Linked DNA regions of Caenorhabditis elegans. The protein of the gene in region 1 interacts with the protein of each later gene in a pairwise test. Each region holds a gene or a part of one and is shown on either strand. Other genes may lie near its edges.

What was found.
Region 2: the proteins of F21D5.4 (region 1) and Y71H2B.4 interact in a two-hybrid assay, tested with the Caenorhabditis elegans proteins (one large-scale study listed by BioGRID).

The regions. Positions count from the first base shown.
Region 1 is NC_003282.8:8,732,859-8,743,540, reverse strand, and holds F21D5.4 (HTH CENPB-type domain-containing protein), read right to left. Parts: upstream 5,455-10,682; 5' UTR 5,453-5,454; coding exon 5,267-5,452; intron 5,219-5,266; coding exon 5,033-5,218; intron 4,989-5,032; coding exon 4,581-4,988; 3' UTR 4,440-4,580; downstream 1-4,439. Other genes in the region: F21D5.7 (Signal recognition particle 54 kDa protein), read left to right, coding at 1-12, 60-249, 350-529, 574-818, 877-1,064, 1,112-1,185, 1,234-1,512, 1,588-1,752; F21D5.6 (Ribonuclease H2 subunit B wHTH domain-containing protein), read left to right, coding at 2,160-2,295, 2,342-2,433, 2,511-2,754, 2,802-2,924, 2,976-3,253; mrps-33 (Small ribosomal subunit protein mS33), read left to right, coding at 3,515-3,658, 3,710-3,946; F21D5.5 (uncharacterized protein), read left to right, coding at 4,167-4,215, 4,263-4,315, 4,365-4,437, 6,560-6,930, 6,976-7,153, 7,199-7,305, 7,349-7,741; F21D5.3 (Multicopper oxidase), read right to left, coding at 7,936-8,109, 8,163-8,247, 9,131-9,528, 9,577-9,684, 9,976-10,157, 10,203-10,401, 10,447-10,565, 10,612-10,682.
Region 2 is NC_003281.10:2,613,519-2,623,803, reverse strand, and holds Y71H2B.4 (Lipoprotein), read right to left. Parts: upstream 4,842-10,285; 5' UTR 4,815-4,841; coding exon 4,688-4,814; intron 4,626-4,687; coding exon 4,480-4,625; 3' UTR 4,429-4,479; downstream 1-4,428. Other genes in the region: Y71H2B.2 (Phosphorylated adapter RNA export protein), read right to left, coding at 541-633; Serine/threonine-protein phosphatase 4 regulatory subunit ppfr-4, read right to left, coding at 1,463-1,830, 3,195-3,618, 3,674-3,865; Y71H2B.5 (Aminotran_5 domain-containing protein), read right to left, coding at 5,085-5,153, 5,446-5,591, 5,645-5,721, 6,551-6,880, 7,295-7,395, 8,555-9,205, 10,035-10,285.

The DNA.
Region 1 (10,682 bases):
GGACAACGTGAAGTAAATTTTTACGCTATTTAAGATTTAAATTTAATAAATATTTTCAGAAAAGCGATTAATTTCGAAGAGATCGTCGGAGGAGCAAACAAACGTCGGTACATTCAGAAGACAGTATTCAATGAACTGCTGAAGCTTGTGGATCCTGGTGTAACTCCTTTCACACCAACAAAAGGACGTCGCAACGTTTTCATGTTTGTTGGTCTTCAAGGTTCCGGTAAAACTACGACTTGTACCAAGGTTCGTTCCATGAATTACAATAGAAAGCTCACACACCATCAAACATTATATTTTTTAATTAGTAAACTTCCAACAACTTTTCAACACTTTTCAAGTTCAGATGGCGTATTACTACCAAAGAAAAGGATGGAAAACATGTCTGATCTGTGCCGATACATTCCGTGCTGGAGCTTTTGATCAATTAAAGCAAAATGCCACAAAAGCTCGTATTCCCTTCTATGGATCATACTCTGAAATTGACCCCGTAAAAATTGCCGCCGAAGGAGTAGAAAAATTCACGGTAATTTATCACAGAAAAATGGTTTAATAATATTTGTTTTGCAGCAAGAAGGGTTCGAAATCATCATTGTTGATACATCAGGTCGTCACAAGCAAGAAGCTTCACTTTTCGAAGAAATGCTCCAAGTTTCCAACGCAGTTACACCAGATAATGTTGTTTTTGTGATGGATGCTTCTATTGGACAAGCTTGTGAAGCCCAAGCACGTGCTTTCTCTCAAACTGTTGATGTTGCCAGTGTTATCATTACAAAGTTGGATTCTCATGCTAAAGGAGGAGGAGCTCTTTCTGCGTGAGTTTTTACTTCGAGATCCTTTATCGTTTTGAAATTGCTCAAATACTTTTTTCAGTGTCGCTGTCACCAAATCCCCAGTAATCTTCATCGGAACAGGAGAACATATTGATGACTTTGAGATTTTCAAGCCAAAATCATTTGTTCAAAAGCTTCTAGGAATGGGAGATATTGCTGGCCTTGTTGATATGGTCAATGATATTGGAATTCAGGATAATAAAGAATTGGTGGGAAGACTGAAACAAGGTAAATTTGATTTCAAAAATTTCAAAAACTGAAAAGAACATTTCCAGGACAATTCACTCTTCGCGACATGTATGAGCAATTCCAAAACATTATGAAAATGGGACCTTTCAGTCAAATTATGGTTCGTTTCAATGTTTTATAACGATACCTGAATACTTATTTATTTCAGGGTATGATTCCTGGTTTTGGATCAGAATTTATGACAAAGGGAAACGAGCAAGAATCCGTCAACAGGCTGAAGAGAATGATGACTGTGATGGATTCTATGAGTGATAAGGAATTGGATCATCCAAAAGCATCTGAGCTCTTTACAAAAGAACCAAATAGAGTTGCCAGAGTTGCCAGAGGATCGGGATCTCATCAACAAGAAGTTCGAGATCTTCTCGCTCAGTACAAGAAATTCTCTGATGTTGTTAAGAAGATTGGATCAATTAAAGGACTCTTCAATGTAAAGTTTTGTTCCTATTCGACAAATTGAAATTTTGTAATTTCAATAATTATTTCTAATGAATTCATTTTGCAGGGCAAAAACGGTGATATAAACCCAAAAAATATGAATCCAGCGAAAATGGCTCAATTGAATCAACAAATGGCAAAAATGATGGATCCACGTGTGTTGCAGCAGATGGGTGGTATGGGAGGCCTTCAAAATATGATGCAGCAGATGGCAAGAGCTGGAAAAATGTGAAGAAATGGATGCAATTATTTTCTGTAGTTTTTGAAATGCCTGTTCCCAGTTCCCACAATTCATTCTGACTAAAACGTTTTTTAATAATATCAATATGATTTCTCGATTTCCCTTTCATCAGAATGTTTCCCAAGTTCATTTTTTGTCTAGCAGATTCTGTGATTCTAATTAGAAACAATTTAGTTAAAGAATAATTTATTTATTTCTTTTTTCCCTTTTGAATTTTCCTGAATTAAACTCGTTTTTTCCCTTGGCTCATCGGTGTAAATATTCACATTTAAAAATGACTGAAAAACATATGCCTGTTTATTTTCTATCTCATTGTTCTCGTTTTTTGACGAATTTCGAACTATTTTCCATAAGTTTAGATCAATTACAAATTGTAATAAATCAGTTTCAGAACAAGAATGCCACCAAAAACTAGAAAAACAAAAAAAGAAGACGTCGAGGAAGAGGCTGTTGAAGAGATTTTAGAAGAAACTAAACCTGCAAAATTACCAGAATCCGATGAGAGTTATTCGAGAAAAGTTGTCATTTCCAAAGGTGATTTCCTTTATTTAATTTCAAAAATGAATGTTTTTGTTTTCAGAGGGCAATTTGCCAAATAGCCGAATCATCAAACTGCGGCACCCGAAGGAAGGACTAGCGCTGTTCAGAATCTCCGAAACGTGCTTTGATGAGGTAAAAATATTGGTCAAGCTTTCACAAAAAACCTGAATAAACTTTTAAATGAGAATAAACTTACAAAATTTATGCAGATTTTCGCTGTCAACGACGGTCATCGATCATTCTTCTACGGTGAGAGTGTAATCGAAAACGGAACAATTCACATATTCACTCCATACAATCTCGTCTTCATTTGTCTCCCATATCTACAAAAGACCGCAGGAAAATTTGTGGAAATTGGCGAAATATTGGTAGATGATCAAGTTGACGGGATCAAAGAATTGGCTGAAAATGAAAGAATTCTGAAAGCATTGGAAGCTGTTTCAGATGTCAAAGGTTTGGAAATATCAGTTCGTGGAGATGGAAAAATAAAAGATTTCCAGATGTTCTCGATGTCAAACTATATCGTTTGAACGATCAAAAAATGTTGGATTGGATGAGAAGGAAGTTTGATTCTCTCAAAAAACTTCTAGAAAGTGATGCCCACAAGTCTTTGTTGTCATGTCGTAAGTTTCTCGTTTTGCTTCTTAATTTTACCAAAATGAAATAAATTTCAGCGGAAGCATTCGATCGTTATGTTTTCACATTCCTGTCTGAATATCTTTCTTCTGATCTTGCATTGATTGTTAAAGATCATTTGAATATTCAAGATGCTACTGTCTCCGAGAACATCGATATGAGTATGAAACGAAAAGCTGTGGATGACGATGAGCTTGAAGATAAGAAGCAACCTGTCGCAAAGAAACCAAAAGAATCAGTACAATCAAAGAAACTTCAAGCCGCCTCGAAGGGAACCAAATCAATCAGCTCATTTTTTGGAAAAAAATCTGCTTGAATCTCTATTTTCTTTATTCAACAATTTCGCATATAATTTCATAACATTGACCTCAATTTATCTATGATTCCGATGCTATTACTTTGCTCAATCTCAATTTTGCATTTCACACATTTTTTAATTCGTGTACTAAATAACTGAAACTTTGAAACGTTTTCGATTGAGAATACTCCTTCCGAAATGGGTCCTTTGCCTATTTATATCTATATTTAACAGTTTCATCCGATTTTAACGGATCAACAATAAAAAAAATATTTTAAGATGGCGGCACGTCTGGCTGCATCACGAATTGTGCACGCCGGCCGCGGAATCTCTCAACCTACACCATTCGGAAAACGAATGGATCGATTGTCAAATCGAGTATGGGGAGAGGTTGTCATGCCAACTGACACTAAAAGTTTAAAGGTTTTTAGATGATTTTTATAAAGAAAAGTTTCTGAAAATTTTCATTTACAGGTTGTCCGAGTAATGTCTGCAGAACCATATGAAACCAAAGAACAATTATCACCGAAATACTATCCAAATCTTCCGATGTTTCATTATTTGACCAAAATGCTACGATTCCATGGACTATTTTTTGATGATCACGTAGTTTTCAGAGATGTTCAAGATAATTTGAAAATTATTCGCGGAAAAGTTGTTCGGCCACCAATCGGTCAAGGAAAGCGTGCACAATTGAGAGGAAAGAAGTAGTGTGGATGTTCTCGAAGTTTAAATCTAGATTAGAAGTTTTGTTGATTTTTTTTTTACGTTTGTTTTAATTGAAAATAAATTCTTTTTGAGGTTTTGCTACATTTTTCCAATAAAATTAAAGTTTTTAACACAGAAAATATCGATTATTGATTTTCTTTTTAATTGCTCCACAAATAATTGGCAGACGTTGCTTTTTTCAGCAGTTTTCAGACTTAGAATTATGAAAAGAGCAATGGATGGAGCAAAAAACGAAGCGAAAAAATCTAAAGGTTTCGATTTTGCAATTTATCTGAAAAAGTTCATCTCCGGTTTACAGATACTGATTTATTTGGACGACCACTGAAAAAGACTGGATCCTGGGAATCAAAGGTTTCAAAAATAAACTTCATTAAAAAAAACTAAAGTCTGATTTTTCCAGGACAACGGCGATTTGATGATTTTCACCCATTCAGAATGTGAAGGAAAAGAGAAAATTGCCGCATTCGATATGGGTAAGAATTGGTCACATTATTTTATTGGCGAGATTTAACTTTCCATGAGTATTCCAAATTTTGATTATGAATATCAGATATGAATTGTTTCAATGGAAAATAACATGCTATAGTTTTAGAAAAATATGAACGATAACAAAAAATTAATAAGATTTCGGAGAACGGTTCACAGATGTTTCGGTTTCTTCTACACTGTCTTCCTTCCCATTAGAATCCTTAATAAGCATCTCCAATTGTTGAAAAATGTTTATTTCTGGCAATTTCGATGATTCATTTGGTTTCTGTTTTACTTCACTCTCTGTGGTTGTACTATTGTTTCCCTCGACTTTTAAACTAGTTTCTCCATTTTCTGCATTAAAATCTTCTAGGAATCCTGAAACATTTCCTTCTGATATATTCTTCCATTCATCACTGTTAATTAGTTCAAAAAGTGATTCTTCAAGCGTTTTGTCTGTTGTGCCATCACTAGTTGATGGCGTTTTTGGGCTTGAACTTCTTGCTTTTATCAATCCGTGTCGAATCATAAATCTTTGAAGCCAACCATTACTTGCCTAGAAAATATTTTATTCGAAATTCGAGTTTAAATGTTTCAAACCTTAAAGTCTGCATTTCCATTAATTTTCTTCGCATATTCCTTGATATCTTTTCCCGAAATTTTCCCGTTTTTCGAAGCAATCCAATCTTCAACTTTCTCATCTAATTCCACATTCTTTAGCGGTCTTCCTGCTCCACCGAGCCTCTTTGCTCCTTGTTTTCCTTCTGATTCGAATGCTAATTCGTGCTGAAATTCCAGAAATTTGTTGATAGAACTACTGTAGTTCAGAAATACCTTCAAATGTCTCCATCGTTGAATACAAGCTCTTGCAACTCCATATTTCTTCTGAGCTTGACAATTATTTGTTTGTTCAGCAAATCGAATAACTTCATTTTTGAATTCGAGTGTAAAATTGGCACGCTTCTTTTTTGGTGGTGGCTCGGATGAAGTTTCAAGTATTTTAGGAGAGATTTCAGTCATTTCTGAAGTTTAAAGCTGAGAATTCTACATTTCGGTTAGAATAGTATTACTCAGATTCGAAATTTTGCGATTTCCTACGCAAAAATGCGATACTAGGTCTTGGCACGACCGAATATCCTTTAAAAAGTACAGTAATCTCCCTGCCTCATTGGTTTGATTTTCCGATTTTCACATTTTTCCCAAAAAAAAATTGTTTTTTGTGAGACAAATCAAAAAATACTAAAATTTTATGCAAAATTCAGGAAAAAAGTCGAAGATGAATAAGTCAGAACAGTGACTCGTAGAGGTTACTGTACTTTTTAAAGGTGCACTTTTTTTCATATAAACTTATTCCGCAGTGTCAAGACCGAGTATCGTATTTTTGCGTTGAAAATCACAAAATTTCGCATCTGTGTAATATTTACATTTGCATCTTTAGAAAAGATAAAATAAATAAATAGAAAAAAATCAATGAATTCTAACGTCAAGAAGAAGGGAGTGCCGTTTTAATAGAGGGTGTCCACACTTCAAGAGACAACAGACAAACATTCAGAGTGTGTATGAAGATGAAGAGACACAGACAAACATACTATGCCTGTCTAATGGAGGGAGGCTGTGACCTACAATTAGAGAACACAGACGACTAGAAATACTGAGTGGTGTATGGATATATTTTTTGATTTTCTTGTTGTTGATGAGTGGGAAAACTCACGTCTTCTATCAAAAGAAAACACATATTTTTGGCGCAGAATTGATAATTTTCACGAAATATGAAATTAGTATCAAGAAACTTGGCCTTACTGAGACTATTCAAGCAGTGAGCCTCTGGCTCGGTACATTTATCCCTTGAACCTAAAATTGTGATGTAATTTCCATTTGATTTTCTTCAAATTAAGTAGTTTGCACAAATTAATAAAAATGTAATACTAATCAATTTTTTTTTTGGTAAATTGCCAAATTTTTGTGGAAATCCCTAAAATTACTGTAGATTCGAACCCCTACAACTATTTTTTGTCGATCTCCACAACAATAATAGATGAAAACCTGAAAAAGGTTAAATTTATGAGTTGTTCTAAACTTTCTAGTGTATGAAAAAAATATTTTTGTTTAAAAAAATCGTATTTTCAGACGGAACTCTGATCAAAACAAAGTCTGGAAAAGTGTTTCCAACAAATTGTCAAGATTGGCAACTTCTATATGACTCAATTCCATCAGATTTCAAAAAATTGCATTCCGACGGATTCAAAATTGTCATTTTCACAAATCAAAAAGGCATCCACGCTGGAAAAGTTGATCGAAATGAATTTAGGAAGAAAATTGAAGCAATTGTTGGAAAACTTGGAATACCTGTTCAAGCATTTGTTTCAGTTGCTGGGGGACACTATAGAAAACCATGTGTTGGTATGTGGAATGAGCTGAAATTGAGAAATGATGAAGTGGAAATTAATGAAAAAGAAAGCATTTTTGTTGGAGATGCTGCTGGAAGAATCAAGACTACAGTACGTGTGAATAGATTCAACTTTCATTTAATTCTAATTTTATAGAGTCGTCCTAAAAAAGATCACTCATACGCAGATCGTTTCTTTGCTGCAAATGTCGGTGTTAAATTTCAAACTCCAGAAGAATTTTTCGGAAAATCGAAAGTTGATGAGCCCTGGGGACCACCAAACTTTGATCCAAAAAATCTATTTTCAGAGGAAATTACTGAACTTGAACCTCATGGTGAAATAAAATTATGAGAAAACATAAATATAATTATATTTTCAGATGCTCAACTTAAATCATCCGAAAAAGAAATTATTCTAATGGTTGGATTTCCCGGTTCAGGAAAGTCGACTTTTGCTAAAATGCTCGGTCATCAACATGATTATAAAGTAAGTTTTGGAGCATTTTTCAACTCAAAAATTTTTGATTCATATTGTGAATCGTGACACGATCGGAACATGGCAAAAGTGTGTAGCAGCCACTCGTTCATATCTTGCTGATGGAAAATCTGTAGTTATTGATAACACATCACCGGATCTAGAATCACGAAAGCGATATATTGACGTGGCAAAAGAGCTCGGAGTGCCCATTCGATGTTTCGAGATGAATTGTAGTATGGAACACGCACAGCACAATATTCGATTCCGAGTGTTAACAGATGATAATGCAGCTGAAATCTCGTCAATGGTATTAAGAATTCATAAAGGAAAATATGTTGAACCAACACTGTCCGAGGGATTTTCACAGATTGTGAAAGTTAATTTCCGCCCGAAATTCGAAGTGGAAGAACACGAAAAACTTTACAAGATGTATTTGATCGAGTGATTCCAATTTGAAATTAATTAAATGTTAAATATATACTTACACATTCCAAAAATCTGAGTTTTAATTTTGTTGTTCAACTTGTGCAATAAATCTCATTCACTTTCCACTTTTTTCAGGCACACGTTCATTTATTAATATCAATATGACATCAAGCTGAGTAAAGTTCAAATTCTAATCATCAAAATTATCAATTATCAGTGAAATATTCTATCAATAATAAGAACTAGGCACACAGCAATGAAAGTGTATGGGATATTCGAAGATTTTTGAGTTGGAAGCCTTAATTCTGGTAATTTATCAACTTTGAAGACACCACAATCATGCGGGAAATTGTCAGGTGGCATGTAGATTTGATTTTGATCACCAACCTAAAATAGAACAGTTAGAAATTGCACTGATACTGATATTAAGTGTATTTTACCTTATATGCATATCCAGTTCCACCCATTAAATGAAGTTCCAAGTGACAATGAGCAAACCACCATCCTGGATTTACAGCACGGAATCTGAAATTATTAATTTGTTTCTTGAATGAGTATTAAAAATATAAGAGAGTGTTAATTCTTATCCTTAAACTTTAATAGTAAAAATTTTGAGATCGTTTCGCAAAAAATACGGTGGATGGTTTCATCACGAAAGAAAAATGTTCAACTCGAGATTGCACAAAACTAGGTGCGCCTTTAAGAACTACAGTATACACTTTTCCTCGATTTTACATTGTTTTTCACACTCAAAAATATGTCGAGACAAACAGATAGTTTGCCGGGTGAGTGAGAGAAAAAAGTGGAAATGGGTATAAAAATGTTTCAAAAAATTGGTTACTGTAGTTCTCAAAAGATTGTGTTCCTAACAATGGGTTCTCACGTGCTCCATGAATTAAAAAATGTTTTAAAAAAACAACGATTCGAAAACTGTTGTGGACGGAACGTAAACCTGAACTTTATACAGACGTGGCCTTTGGGTCATCATGAACTTATCGCGTAAGCGACCTCTCTTTATAATTCATTACTTCTTACACTTCTTGTAATAAACTACTTCTCTCCTTGTCTTTCGCTCAATACACAACAGTGGCGATCAGGATGAGATGGGGAGGGGGACAAGTTGTGCGAGGATCAGCCCCAAACACTGATCATGCCTCCACTCGCCGCAGAGGTCGATATACCGCCTCTGGTCGTGATGCCCCTAGCCCAGGCATTTCTGGCTTTTTGTCATATAAGAGGGGAGATGTTGTGGACGGAACGTAAACCTGAACTTTATACAGACGTGACCTTTGGGTCATCATGAACTTATCGCGTAAGCGACCTCTCTTTATAATTCATTACTTCTTACACTTCTTGTAATAAACTACTTCTCTCCTTGTCTTTCGCTCAATACACAACAAAAACCTACCGAATAGTGATATATCCTCCAACTGGCAATGTAATAGTATCTCTTTTCGTTGGATTCTTAGTATTCATTGCTTCTAATGCTCCACCTAACCAATCTTTATTTCTCCATTTCTTTCCATTACAACTAACATCTCGTCCAGGACAATCAATATCTTGATTCATTTGATCAATAAATCCAGATCCATTATACGATGGCCATCCAACTTTCATCACATAAAAATGATGTCCATGAAGATGGAATGGATGAGCATAACCAGTTCCCATTGCACCACCAAGTCCCATATTATAAAGGGTTATTTGCACAATATTATTTAATTTATGCTCCAAATGATAGAAACAACGACATGTTGTATCGAGATCTGACATTGAGTTGTTGGCACAAGCAGTTTGACTGCACGACTGTAAATAATATAAAATGGATATTTTCTCCCGTCGACCCTAACTCACCGTTGAAATAGTTTCCATGTCACCATCATGATAATATGGAATACCCCATGGGAATTGGAATAAGAATTGATCCATTTGAGAGTCATGGTGCATGTTGATAAAATGCTCCTGCAAAAAGTGGGCTCGTGATTATTAAAACAAAAGATGGCCTAGAAAAGTCAGATAGGCAGGCATGTAGGCATTAAGAAACAGATAGGAAAGAGACATCTCGTGGTTGCCTTCCCCCATTGCATTCATTATATACTTACCTTCCTGAAAATGCGCCTGCTTATCAAAAACAGGTGTTTAACATTTTTCAAGTGTAATAAACTTTTATGATTCTTTTCTTCCAATGATTTTGGAAAACCAGACGTCTGCTTTGCCACTCCAACCCTATTTCTATAATAAACAAAATCCCACCTCGAATCCTCCATTAAATTGTGTTGCTTGAAGAATCTCGGCCTCGATTTTTTCTGGATTTGGATTTTCCAACTTATCATATGAGATACATGTGAAGTTTGGTTGAGCCATCCATTCTTGGAATGGACAGTTCAAAACGGTACATTTCTTGTTTTGTGTACATTCTGGGTGCATCAGGTTGGCTGAAAGGAATTGTTGTTTTTAAATTACTGTTTTTCTCTACTTACGTGTAGTCTTATCCTCGGGGAGTCCATCAGTTTCATATTCAATATAACCAAATCCATAAACAATTGGAATCTCTTTCCAATCAAAGAAATATTTTTGAACTGTCTCTACTTGGATACGGTAGCTTTTTTTGGTGGGTGTTGCCAATCCTTTAATCAAAATGTCATATCTTTCTCCTGGGAAAACGATGAGACGATCAACCTGAAATGAGAGAATAGATTATGCTTCAAATGAATGGGTTCCTACCTTCATCGGAACAACCTCATCACCATCAGCTGCAACTACAGTCATTGGATGCCCTTCAACATATAGCATAAGCTCTTGAGCAACTCCTCCGTTTACAATACGGAAAAGAATATCCTCGTCTGACATTTCAAATTATTTGTTAGTTAAATAGACTCATAGACTTACTTGGCTTAATTTGGAATCTTTCAAGTGGAAGATTGAATGGTTGAGATTTGATAATGTCATGATCATACCAT
Region 2 (10,285 bases), on another chromosome or scaffold:
TTTTTTGAGTGAAATTCAATAAAGCTAGTTTTTAAGCGCTTTTTTCGAATTTTTTCAAGTTTTTAATCGAAAAATCGCCAAAAAAATTGAGGAAAATTGCTAAAATTTTATCGGAAATACATTTTTTAAGAAAAATCTTTTTTTTTTTCAAAAAATTGAGTAAGAATGTAAAAAATGGATATTTTCTCAGAATTTTGAAGACAAAAGTAGCTTTTTGCCGATTTTTCGATTAAAAATTGAAAAAAAAAAGTTTTGATTTTTTCTGAAAAGAAACTGTTCTAAAAAATTTTTATTTTCTGAAAAATCCGAAAAAAGTGCTTAAAATCTTGTTTTATTGAATTTTTTACAAAAAAGTTTCAAAATTTCGTCAAAAATAGTTTTTTTTAAGAGAAAATCCGAATTGTGAAACTTTTTCTTGATTTTTTCGGTTTTTTTTTAATCAAAAATCGAAATTTGTTACGAAAATGGTTAGTTTTTGCCAATTTTTTCATTTTCAAGGTAGAAAATCCCCGATTTTCAGCCAAAAATCGTGCTCCTTACAGCTTTCAGATCCTCATCTTCATCTTTATTGATCGGAAGTCTCTCTTCATCGGAATCTCCTTCCGAATCGTGACGACGCTTACGGAATGCCATTCTGAAATTTTTTTTTTCTGAAAATCTGAAAAATATTTTGGAACTTATGTATAAAAAAGGTAAAAACCCTTTAAAAATGCAAAAAAAAATATAATAAAATATAATTATTTACAGTTTCACATTTATTCGAAACGAAAATAAGACGCCGTATAAAAATGTCGATTTACGCGGCTCGTGAACTCCCCGAAGTGAAGGGAACTTTTTTTTGGAAAAATCCGATTTTTTTTTTGAAAAAAACTCTTGCTAAAATCCGCAATTTTTATGGAAAATTTTGAGAATTTTCAGGAAATTCGGCGAATTTTTTTTTGAGACTTCTTAGTGAAAAATCCTCAATTTTTTGAATTTTCCCAAAAAAAAACCAGTGATTTTTGAGAATTTCAAAGAGAACACCGCGGTTTTATTGAATTTTTTCAGAATTTTCAAAAAAACGCAAATTTTCAAGTTTTTTGAAAGAAATATCTGAAATATCTCTATTTGAATAATTTATTTTTCAAAATTTTCGAAAAACCTGGAATTTTTTGAAATTTCCAGAAAACCGCAATTTTATTGATTTTTTTCTAGAAAAATATCGTAAAAAACGGATAATTGCAGATTTTCGCGGAAAAAATTTTCAATAATTTTATCAAAAAATTTTTTCCCATAAAAACTGCAATTTTTTTTTAATTCTCAAAATAATCCGCCGAAAATTGCCAATTCTGCAATTTTTCCATTCAAAAAATGCAGATTTTTCAAAATTTTTCGCCTTCTCCTCGTGAAGTACACAAGCCGCGTAAATCGACACATGCGGGAGCTAGGAATCCCGCGTAAAAGTAGAGATCTACAATATAATTTATCCTTTATTGTGCATATTTCCCCATCCACGTCGATGATCATCCTTATATTCATCCCAACGCATCGCCTTCGCTCTCGCCTCGTCATCATCAACCTCTTCTTCGGATTCTTGAGCTTCTGCCCCGGCTGGAGCCGACGATTGTGGAGCATTTTGTGGATTATGACCGAATTTCTGATGATACCATTCATCGACACTCATCGCTGGAATTCCTGGATATCCGAGCCCAAAGACCTGCTTCTGTTGAGCATCTCTGGTAATAATGAAGGGTTTAAGTGTTGGAACTGTCTTTGTTGCTGGTGGTGGAGCTGGATGACGATGTGGGTGAGATGCTCGTTCAGCCATCATTTTCAGCAGTGGAAGCTCGTCTGAAAATTGTTTTCCGTTTTTAAAAACGTCGCTTTCTGCTCTAAAAGGCTTAAAAGGCTTGGCCATGAAGAACTGAAAATTATTCAAAACTCGAAAAATTCAATTTTTCAGGGTCATTTTGAGGCTCTAAAAACTATTAAAAAACTTTTTTACTGACAGAAAATTAAAAAATTTGCAAAAAATAAAAATAATAATTAACTTATTATTTAAATTTTTTTTATTTTTTTGTTTAAAAAAATTTCGAATTTTCAATTATTCAAAAATTGGAAAAAAATTAGACAATTAACAGGAAAATTCATTTCTTTTATCAAATGTGGTTTATTTTGATTTGAAAAATCAGAAAATATATAGTTTTCTTCTACAAACAAAAAAATGACCAAAATACGACCAAATCGGAGATTTTAGCTAAATTTTGGACTTTTTTCTTGTTTGTAGAAAAAAAATGATATATTTTCTGAAGTTTTTCATCAAAATAAATTTTTTTTTCGATTTTTGAATAATTAATTTTTTTAATTCAAAAATCGAAAAAAAAATTTAGATTTATTTTGATGAAAAACTTTAGAAAATATATCTTTTTTTTCTACAAACAAGAAAAAAGTCCAAAATTTAGCGGAAATCTCCGATTTGGTCGTGATTTGATCATTTTTTTGTTTGTAGAAGAAAACTATATATTTTCTGATTTTTCAAATCAAAATAAACCAGATTTGATAAAAGAAATGAATTTTCCTGTTAATTGTCTAATTTTTTTCCAATTTTTGAATAATTGAAAATTCGAAATTTTTTTTACAACTTTCTAATTTTAAAGGAGTTTTGCAAAAATTTAAAAAATGAGTTAATTATTATTTTTCCTTTTTTTGCTTTTTTTTTAATTGTCTGTGGGTAAAAACGAATTTTATAGCTCTTAGAGCCTCAAAATGACCCTGAAAATTGAATTTTTCGATTTTTTAAAATAATAGTTTAAAAAAATTACAAAAAATCTTTAAAAAGCAGCGTCGCACAGAAAAATAGTTTTTTTCTCGAATAAAAGATCATAATTTGAACATATTTGCTGTTTTTCTGTGTTTTGGTTACCATTCGTCTGGAAACATCGTTAAATTAATGAAAAAATGTGCGAAATCCGGAAGTTTAGCTAAATTTAGCCATTTTTCTCCTTATTTTCCATGAAATTCGGCATTTCGAAGCCATTTTGAGCATTTTTAGAGCAACAAAACGATTTTTCAAGCAAAAATTCCAGTTTTCTTCGAGTTCTCAGAAAAAAAATATGATAACATTGCGTTTTTCTGCCAGAAAATCACATTAATTCCGATTTTTCGTGATTTTTAAAAATAATTTTTCCATGGAAACTAGGCGATATTCTACACACCATCAATCGCCTGCAACTCCTCGTAACATCTTTCACTCCAGAACAATAACTGAGTAATATAGAGCTCTCTGAGATTCTGCTCATCAATTGAAACGGCTTCCAGCTGCTTTTGGATCCTGAGCTCCGCCATTTTGAGCTCTTGCTTCTTCTTGTGACGCTCCAACTTCAATCTTCTGATCTCTTCAACTGCAAGCTTCGGCTTCTCCTTTAAATTTTGCTCTTCTGTATCCTCATCTTCCCATGGTAATCTGGTGGTGATCAGGCACAAATCTCGGAGGCGATCCAGAAAATTTCGCATATAAATTTTGGATTTTCTCAGTTCGTCGAGCTTCAGGCCGGGCTCAGTCATCAAATTTTGGTGGAGAATTCCCAAAAAACATGGGACAAGGAGATAGGGCAGCGAGTTTGTTGGAACGTCTTCAATCTGAAAAAAAATCATTTAATTTCAGAAATAATCTTTTTTTTTTTCGATAAAAAACCTGCTCATTCGACGAAAACAATCTCATCTGATTCACAAGCTTCGTGACCAACTGGAGATTATCAATTCCCGTTTTGATGCGAGGTTGGAGCTCCGGGGTGGAAAAAATCCCATCTTCAATATCGCCGATCACCTTTTTGCTCGGATCGTAAAGCGCTTGCAAGGAAATTTCTTCATCTGATAGCTCTGACATGCTCTGAAATTTAAATAATCAATTTTTAATTGAACAAACGAGGAAAAATTCAGGTTTCGCAGAGAAAACCCGTTTTCAGTGAGCGAAAATTTTTCAATAAACAAAACGAAAATAGAAAACACCCGATTTGACGACACTTGTGCAAACACCCTCACGCAATATTGCACAGATTTCTGAAAAAACAATTTTTTGTTTTTTTCTGGAACACATTTTACAACTTTTCAGACGGAATTTTCGGTTTTTTATCGAAATTTATGGAGAAAACGTTCAAAAAAACTCAAATTTGCTTGTTTTTAAAGGGTTTTTATGGGAAATCGTGTCATTTTTCCTTTAACAACGGAAAAACAATTCAAACACTGTCAAAATGACCAAAAATCATATTTAATAAAACGTTCAAAATGTTTCGGAAAACGCTTTATTTCGAGTCAAAAAGTGGAGAAACTCGTTTTTTTGAAAGTCTTCGATTATGGCCGCAGAGGCTCAAAAAGTGGCGCAAAATCACTTTTCCCGCGCGAAATTTGAAAAATTATCTCAAAAAAGAAGAAAATCGCCGAAAATTTAGTCTAAAAAATTGGCTTTATTGGAAAAAAATTAAAACATCAAAATCCAATTATTTAATAGACTTTATCGTTCTTGAGCAGCTTCTCCGGGAAGCATCTCTTGAGGCACTCAACAGTGAAGCAGCAGACATCATCCTTCGGGAATTCCTTGTACGAGCAGTTGTTCTTCATGGCACAGCACGCGGATTTGTAGGTGCTATCTGAAATTAATTATGAATCTTTTGAAACAAAACACAAAAAATCAATAAATAAAAAAACTTACAATCCTCAACAGTGCATGGGGATTGCTCCAAGCCGTAACGGCAGAACATATTCATATATTTATCGAAATTCTTGCATGACGAGGCGAAGGAAACGAGGAGAACGAGGAAAATCAAGGCGATCCGCATTCCGGCGGCAGACTGGCTCGGAGCTTTGGAGCTTTGGAGCTTGAGAGCTTTGAGCCGGCTTCCGATGGAACAGCTGACTAACTTTTTACTCACTTTTTCATCAATGTGTCAGTTGTCGGTTTTATTTTTGAAAGTTTTTATTCAACAAACCAAAACATCAAAAAAACATTCAAACGCTCAAGGACGAATTACGATTAACATTTAACAACAAGAAAAATATTTAAATATTTTTTTTAATAGGAAAATTTTAATTTTTATAGGAAAAATTCCCTATGACATTTCCTTCACAATATTATGCACCGCCTGGCTCCGCATCACGCTGGTGTGCGCCGAATCAACCTGGAAAACATTTATTAGATTTGAAAAAAAGAGCTCAAGGGGGCTCAGAGTCCCTCTTATATTTAAATGGAAGAGTTTTCAGCTTGGGAAGCTCGGCCGCGACGCAGCTGCATGCGGAGCGGCTCAGACGAACACATTGATTTTATCATTTTCTGGTAGAAAAAAAAACAGAATCAACGTTTTTGCCTGAGCCGCTCCGCGCGCTGCTGCGTCGCGGCCGAGCTTCCCAAAACTCTGCCATTTCAAGGGACATCCCGCGTTACTAGAGCTTGAAAACCCATAAATCACCCACCAAAAGCAGTGGTTTCAGAGCAGATCTCAGTGAATTAAACAAGTCGGGGAAGATGAGCTCCTGCTGAGCCAGGAGCTGCTTGACACGGTGACGTTCGGTGGCCTGGTTGAAGCATGCCGGGCAGTTTTCCGCGACAACTGGGAGTTCTGGAAAATTATTTATTTGGAGATAAATTCAAAAAAAAAATCGCTGAAAATACTTTTATCCTCGGCGAAATTTCGTAGAGCCTTCTCGCGAACCATCACCAGCGGTCGAATGACTCGAAGAGCTCCGTCTCTGGAAAAAAATTGAAATTCCTTTTGAAATCGACGTGAAAACGCGCTCCACGGACAATTGGTAACGCTCCGCCCCCAACAGTTGGGTCTCGTTAGGAAAATTTTCAATTTTCCATCGATTTTATTGATTTTTTCGTCGAACTTATGTTATTTTATAAATTTCGGCATAAAAATTTATTAAACTAATGAAAAACGTGACAAAAACATTTGAATTTAAAGTTTTGTCTACAAATACCTAACGAGACCCGCCTGTTGGGGGCGGAGCGTATTTTTCTGGAAAATATACGATTTTTCAGTGTTTTCCAGGAAAGATCAAGTTATTTTCCCAATTTTTTGTTTTTTTGAACACGGTAGTCATTACTGTAGTTTTCGCTGCGAGATATTCTGCACAACACATTTGACGCGTAAAATATCTCGCAGCGAAAACTACAGTAATCACTACTGTAAGTGTGGATTTACGAGCTGCCGCCAAGCCCCGTAAATCGACACCTACAGTAGTCATTACTGTAGTTTTCGCTGCGAGATATTTTGCGCGTCAAATGTGTTGTGCAATACGCATTCTCAGGATTTTGAGTTCAAAACATTTGGAAAATATTTCGATTTTATCGTAAATTTTCCATAAAAATCCGCCCCCAAGAGTCGGGTCTCGTTAGGTATTTGGTGGCAAATCAATCTTTTTTCATTTTCGGTGAATTTTTGAAAGGAAAATCTTAAACATCGACTGATTTTTGGTGTTTCTACCTGAAAAACAACGAAATTTAGATTAATTTCAGGATTTTCGTCTCAAAAAACTCGAACAAAAATCGATTTTTCTAATTTTCAGTACTAACTTCGTCGTATACTGAGCCTTCATCGTGCTCAAATTTCCATTCTGAAAAGCGGCAATGAAGAAGCTTTCAGCAAGATCATCCAAATGTTGTCCCATCGCCAGAACATTCCATCCGTGTAATTGTGCGGCGGCGGCGAGTCGGCCACGCTTCATTCGACTACAAAACGCGCAAATCGATCGGAGTCCGGGCGTTTTTCGGGCGGCTCCAATAATATCCTGCTCTTCGTAGAAATAATCAATATTGAGCCGTCGACAATACTCGATTAATGGGCGTGGATTGTATTCTGCAGATCCTGGATCAACGGTGATTGCACCGAGTTCGAAGGAGGTGCTGGAAATATGAATTTTTTTTCAAAAATTTCCGACGAAAAATGACAATTTTCGCCATATTCTGAGCACATGGGTCTCGCCACGAGCTACAGTAACTCGTGTCGATTTACGGGTGCGCTGAAATAAGGCTCCGCCCCCGAGCCAAGGGTCTCGTTAGGTTCTACATTGTTTTTGAAGATTTTTGAGCCGAAATTGATAATTTCATGTAAAAATCATAACGAAAAAGGCAAAAATTCTTGAAAAAATTTGAATATACACTATTGCCGCCAAATACCTAACGAGACCCAGCTGTTGGGGGCGGAGCGTTGTCAATTGTCCGTGGAGCGCGTTTTGACATCGATTTCATTCAAAAAAAAAAATTTCTGCGCTGCTCGTAAATCGACACAAGTCGTGGCGAGACCCAGATATTTCATACCTTCTAGCCTTATTACAGCGTTGTTGATAGTGCCGTAAAATGTGAAGAAGCGATAGAGAATCCTTGCCGCCGGAGAGACACACAAGAACTTTGTCGCCGTCCTGGAAATTATTCGAAACTTTAGTTCGGCAAATTCGGCAAATTGCCAGTTGGCCGATTTGCCGGAAAATTTCAATTCTGGGAATTTGCCTATTTGCTAAAAATTTCCAATTCCGGCAATTAGCCGATTTACCTTCACTTTCGGCAAATGCCACTTTTCCGGCAAATTGGGCAAATTGCCGGTTAGACGATTTTCCGGAAATATTCAATTCCAGCAAATTCGGCGATCTGCCGGAAATTATAACATTCGACAACTGCCGCTTTCATGGCAAATTCGGAAAATTGCCGAAAATTTTCAATTCCGGCAAATTCGTCAAATTGCAGGTTGGACGATTCGCCGGAAATATTCAACTCCGACAATTTGCCGATTTGCCGGAAAATTTCAATTCCGGCAAAATCGGCAAATTGTCAGTTGAACGATTAGCTTGAAATTTTCAACTCTGGCAAGTTGCCGATTTGCCGGCAATTTTTACTTTCGGCAATTTGCCGCTTTTCCGGCAAATTCGGTAAATTGCCGGAAATTTTAAATTCCGGCGAAATTCCCATTTGCCGGCAATTTTTCAATTTTCGCTTTTCCGGCAAAATCGGCAAATTGCAGGTTACCCGATTTGCCGGAAATTTTCAATTCCGGCAAATTCGGCAGATTGCCAGTAGAACGGTTAGCTTGAAATTTTCAACTCTGGCAAGTTGCCAATTTGCCGGAAATTTTTATTTTTGGCATGGCCGCTTTTCCGGCAAAATCGGCAAGTTGCAGGTTAGACGATTTGCCGGTAATTTTCCATTCCGGTAATTGCCACTTTTCTGACAAATTCGGCAAATTGCCGCAAATTTTAACTTTCGGCAAAATTGACAAAGGTTGAACAATTTGCCGGAAATTTTAAATTCCGGCAACTTCGGCGAATTGCCGGTTGGGCGATTTGCCGGAAATTTTCAATAAAAATTGCTTTCGGCAAAAACAAATTCGGTAAATTACCGGAAACTGCCGGTGGCCAAATTGTCGGAAATTTTTGATTCCGGCAACTTGCTGATTTGCTAAAAAATTCCAATTCCGGCAAAATCGGCAAGTTGCCGGTTGGACGATTTGACGTATATTTTCAATTCCGGCAAATTGCCACTTTTCCGGCAAATTGGAAATTTTTATTTTTGGCAAATTCGACTAACCCTAATCATCTTGAGCTGATGAATAATGTCTGTAACTTTCTTGTACATTTCCAACGACGGAATATGCCATTCTTGAAGCCGTTCGTCTTCTTTACTCAAATTCTCCACACGTCTCACGATGACCCGCTTATTCCAGTCTTCCATCTGCTTCACCTCCTCAGCTTCAGCAGCATCGCCCACGTCTTCTGAAGCTTTCAGCTTATCTGATTTCAGATAACAAATCACATCGTCACAAATCACTTCACACTCTTCTTGCGGAGCTTCTTGATGCTGCTCGGATGGAATTTCTTGATGTGAAGCTTCTTCTGTATACTTTCTCGGTTTAATCACACACATCGGAAATGAAACCGCCCGTCCAGCTCGAGCTTCAGCCACCTCAATCGGAAGAACAAACCACCGAAGTTCGTGATATTCCGAATTAATCGCCAGTCTTCCATCTGGAATTTTCGAGATATTCAGAGCATCCGACGACTCTTGAGCCAACACTTTTGCCGCTTCCAGGCATTTCTTCATATCAGGCACTTCTGGAACAGCCAAAGGCTTAGTTTTCAGGCCGGTTGGGGTGAATTGAACATGTCCGAGCCATCGTCTTCCATGAAATACTCGTTGATTTTGATGATGCCATTCACCGGTCTCACAGTTTACTTGGTACTGAAATTGGAGAGATTATGATCTACTATCACAAAATTTTCATTCTCAAAAATGTAAAGAATTTTTTTTGAGAAAATTCGAAAAATTGAATTTATGGAAATTGTCGATTTTTCCAAAAATTCCCAAAAAATTGCGGATTTTTTTGGGAAAATTCTCAAAAAATTGAGAATTTTAAATTTTTTTCTATGTACGAAAAAATTTTGAAAATTCGCCAAAAATTGCTTTGTTCTAAAATTCTCCAAATTTTCGGAATTTTTGAAGGTTTTGTACAAATTTTACTATAACTTCTCTATAATTGTCTGAAAATTGATAGAATTTATTGGAATAAATGGAAAAATGAACGGAAATGTTTAATTTTCATGAAAATTTGAGCATTTTCGAAGAAATTCAACCAAATTTCCGAGAATTCCAGAAATTTCAGTGAAAATTCAGAAATTCTACTGTCTCAATTTTTTTTTTTGAGAATTTTCAGAAAAATCTTCAATTTTTGAATTTTTCTGAAAAAAAAAGTGTATTTTTTAAAAATAATTTCCGGAAAAATTGGTTGTTTTTTGAATTTTGAAAAAAAAAATTTTCGGAAAAAATCGGTAATTTTTCTCGTTTCACGTGGTGCCAGAGTATCTCATTTTGGCTTGATCTACGTAGATCTACAAAAAATGCGGGAGAAGAGACGCAGAGTTCGCATGGCTGACATCACATTTTTTGGACAAAAAATTCCCGCATTTTTTGTAGATCAAACCGTGATGGGACAGCCTAGCACCACGTGGCTTTAAAAAATACTTCTCCTCGTGGAGTACACAATTTGCGTAAATCGACACAAGGCTCCTACCAAGTGCAAAAAGTCGGCCGCATGTTTTGCAATAAATCGAATAGCCTCCAAAATCTCATCGACTTCCGCCATCTTGAAAAAATAAGGAAACGAGATTCTCGTGAATCCAGGTCTCAGGAATTCCTGTTGCGAGTATTCAGCTTGCCGCCGGAGGTGTGTTCTATCGAGATCTGGTGATTCTTGAATTGCGCTCACAAATCTCTGTGACAGCTCTTCATCGATTCCGAGAAGCTTCTGAGAATACGGACCAG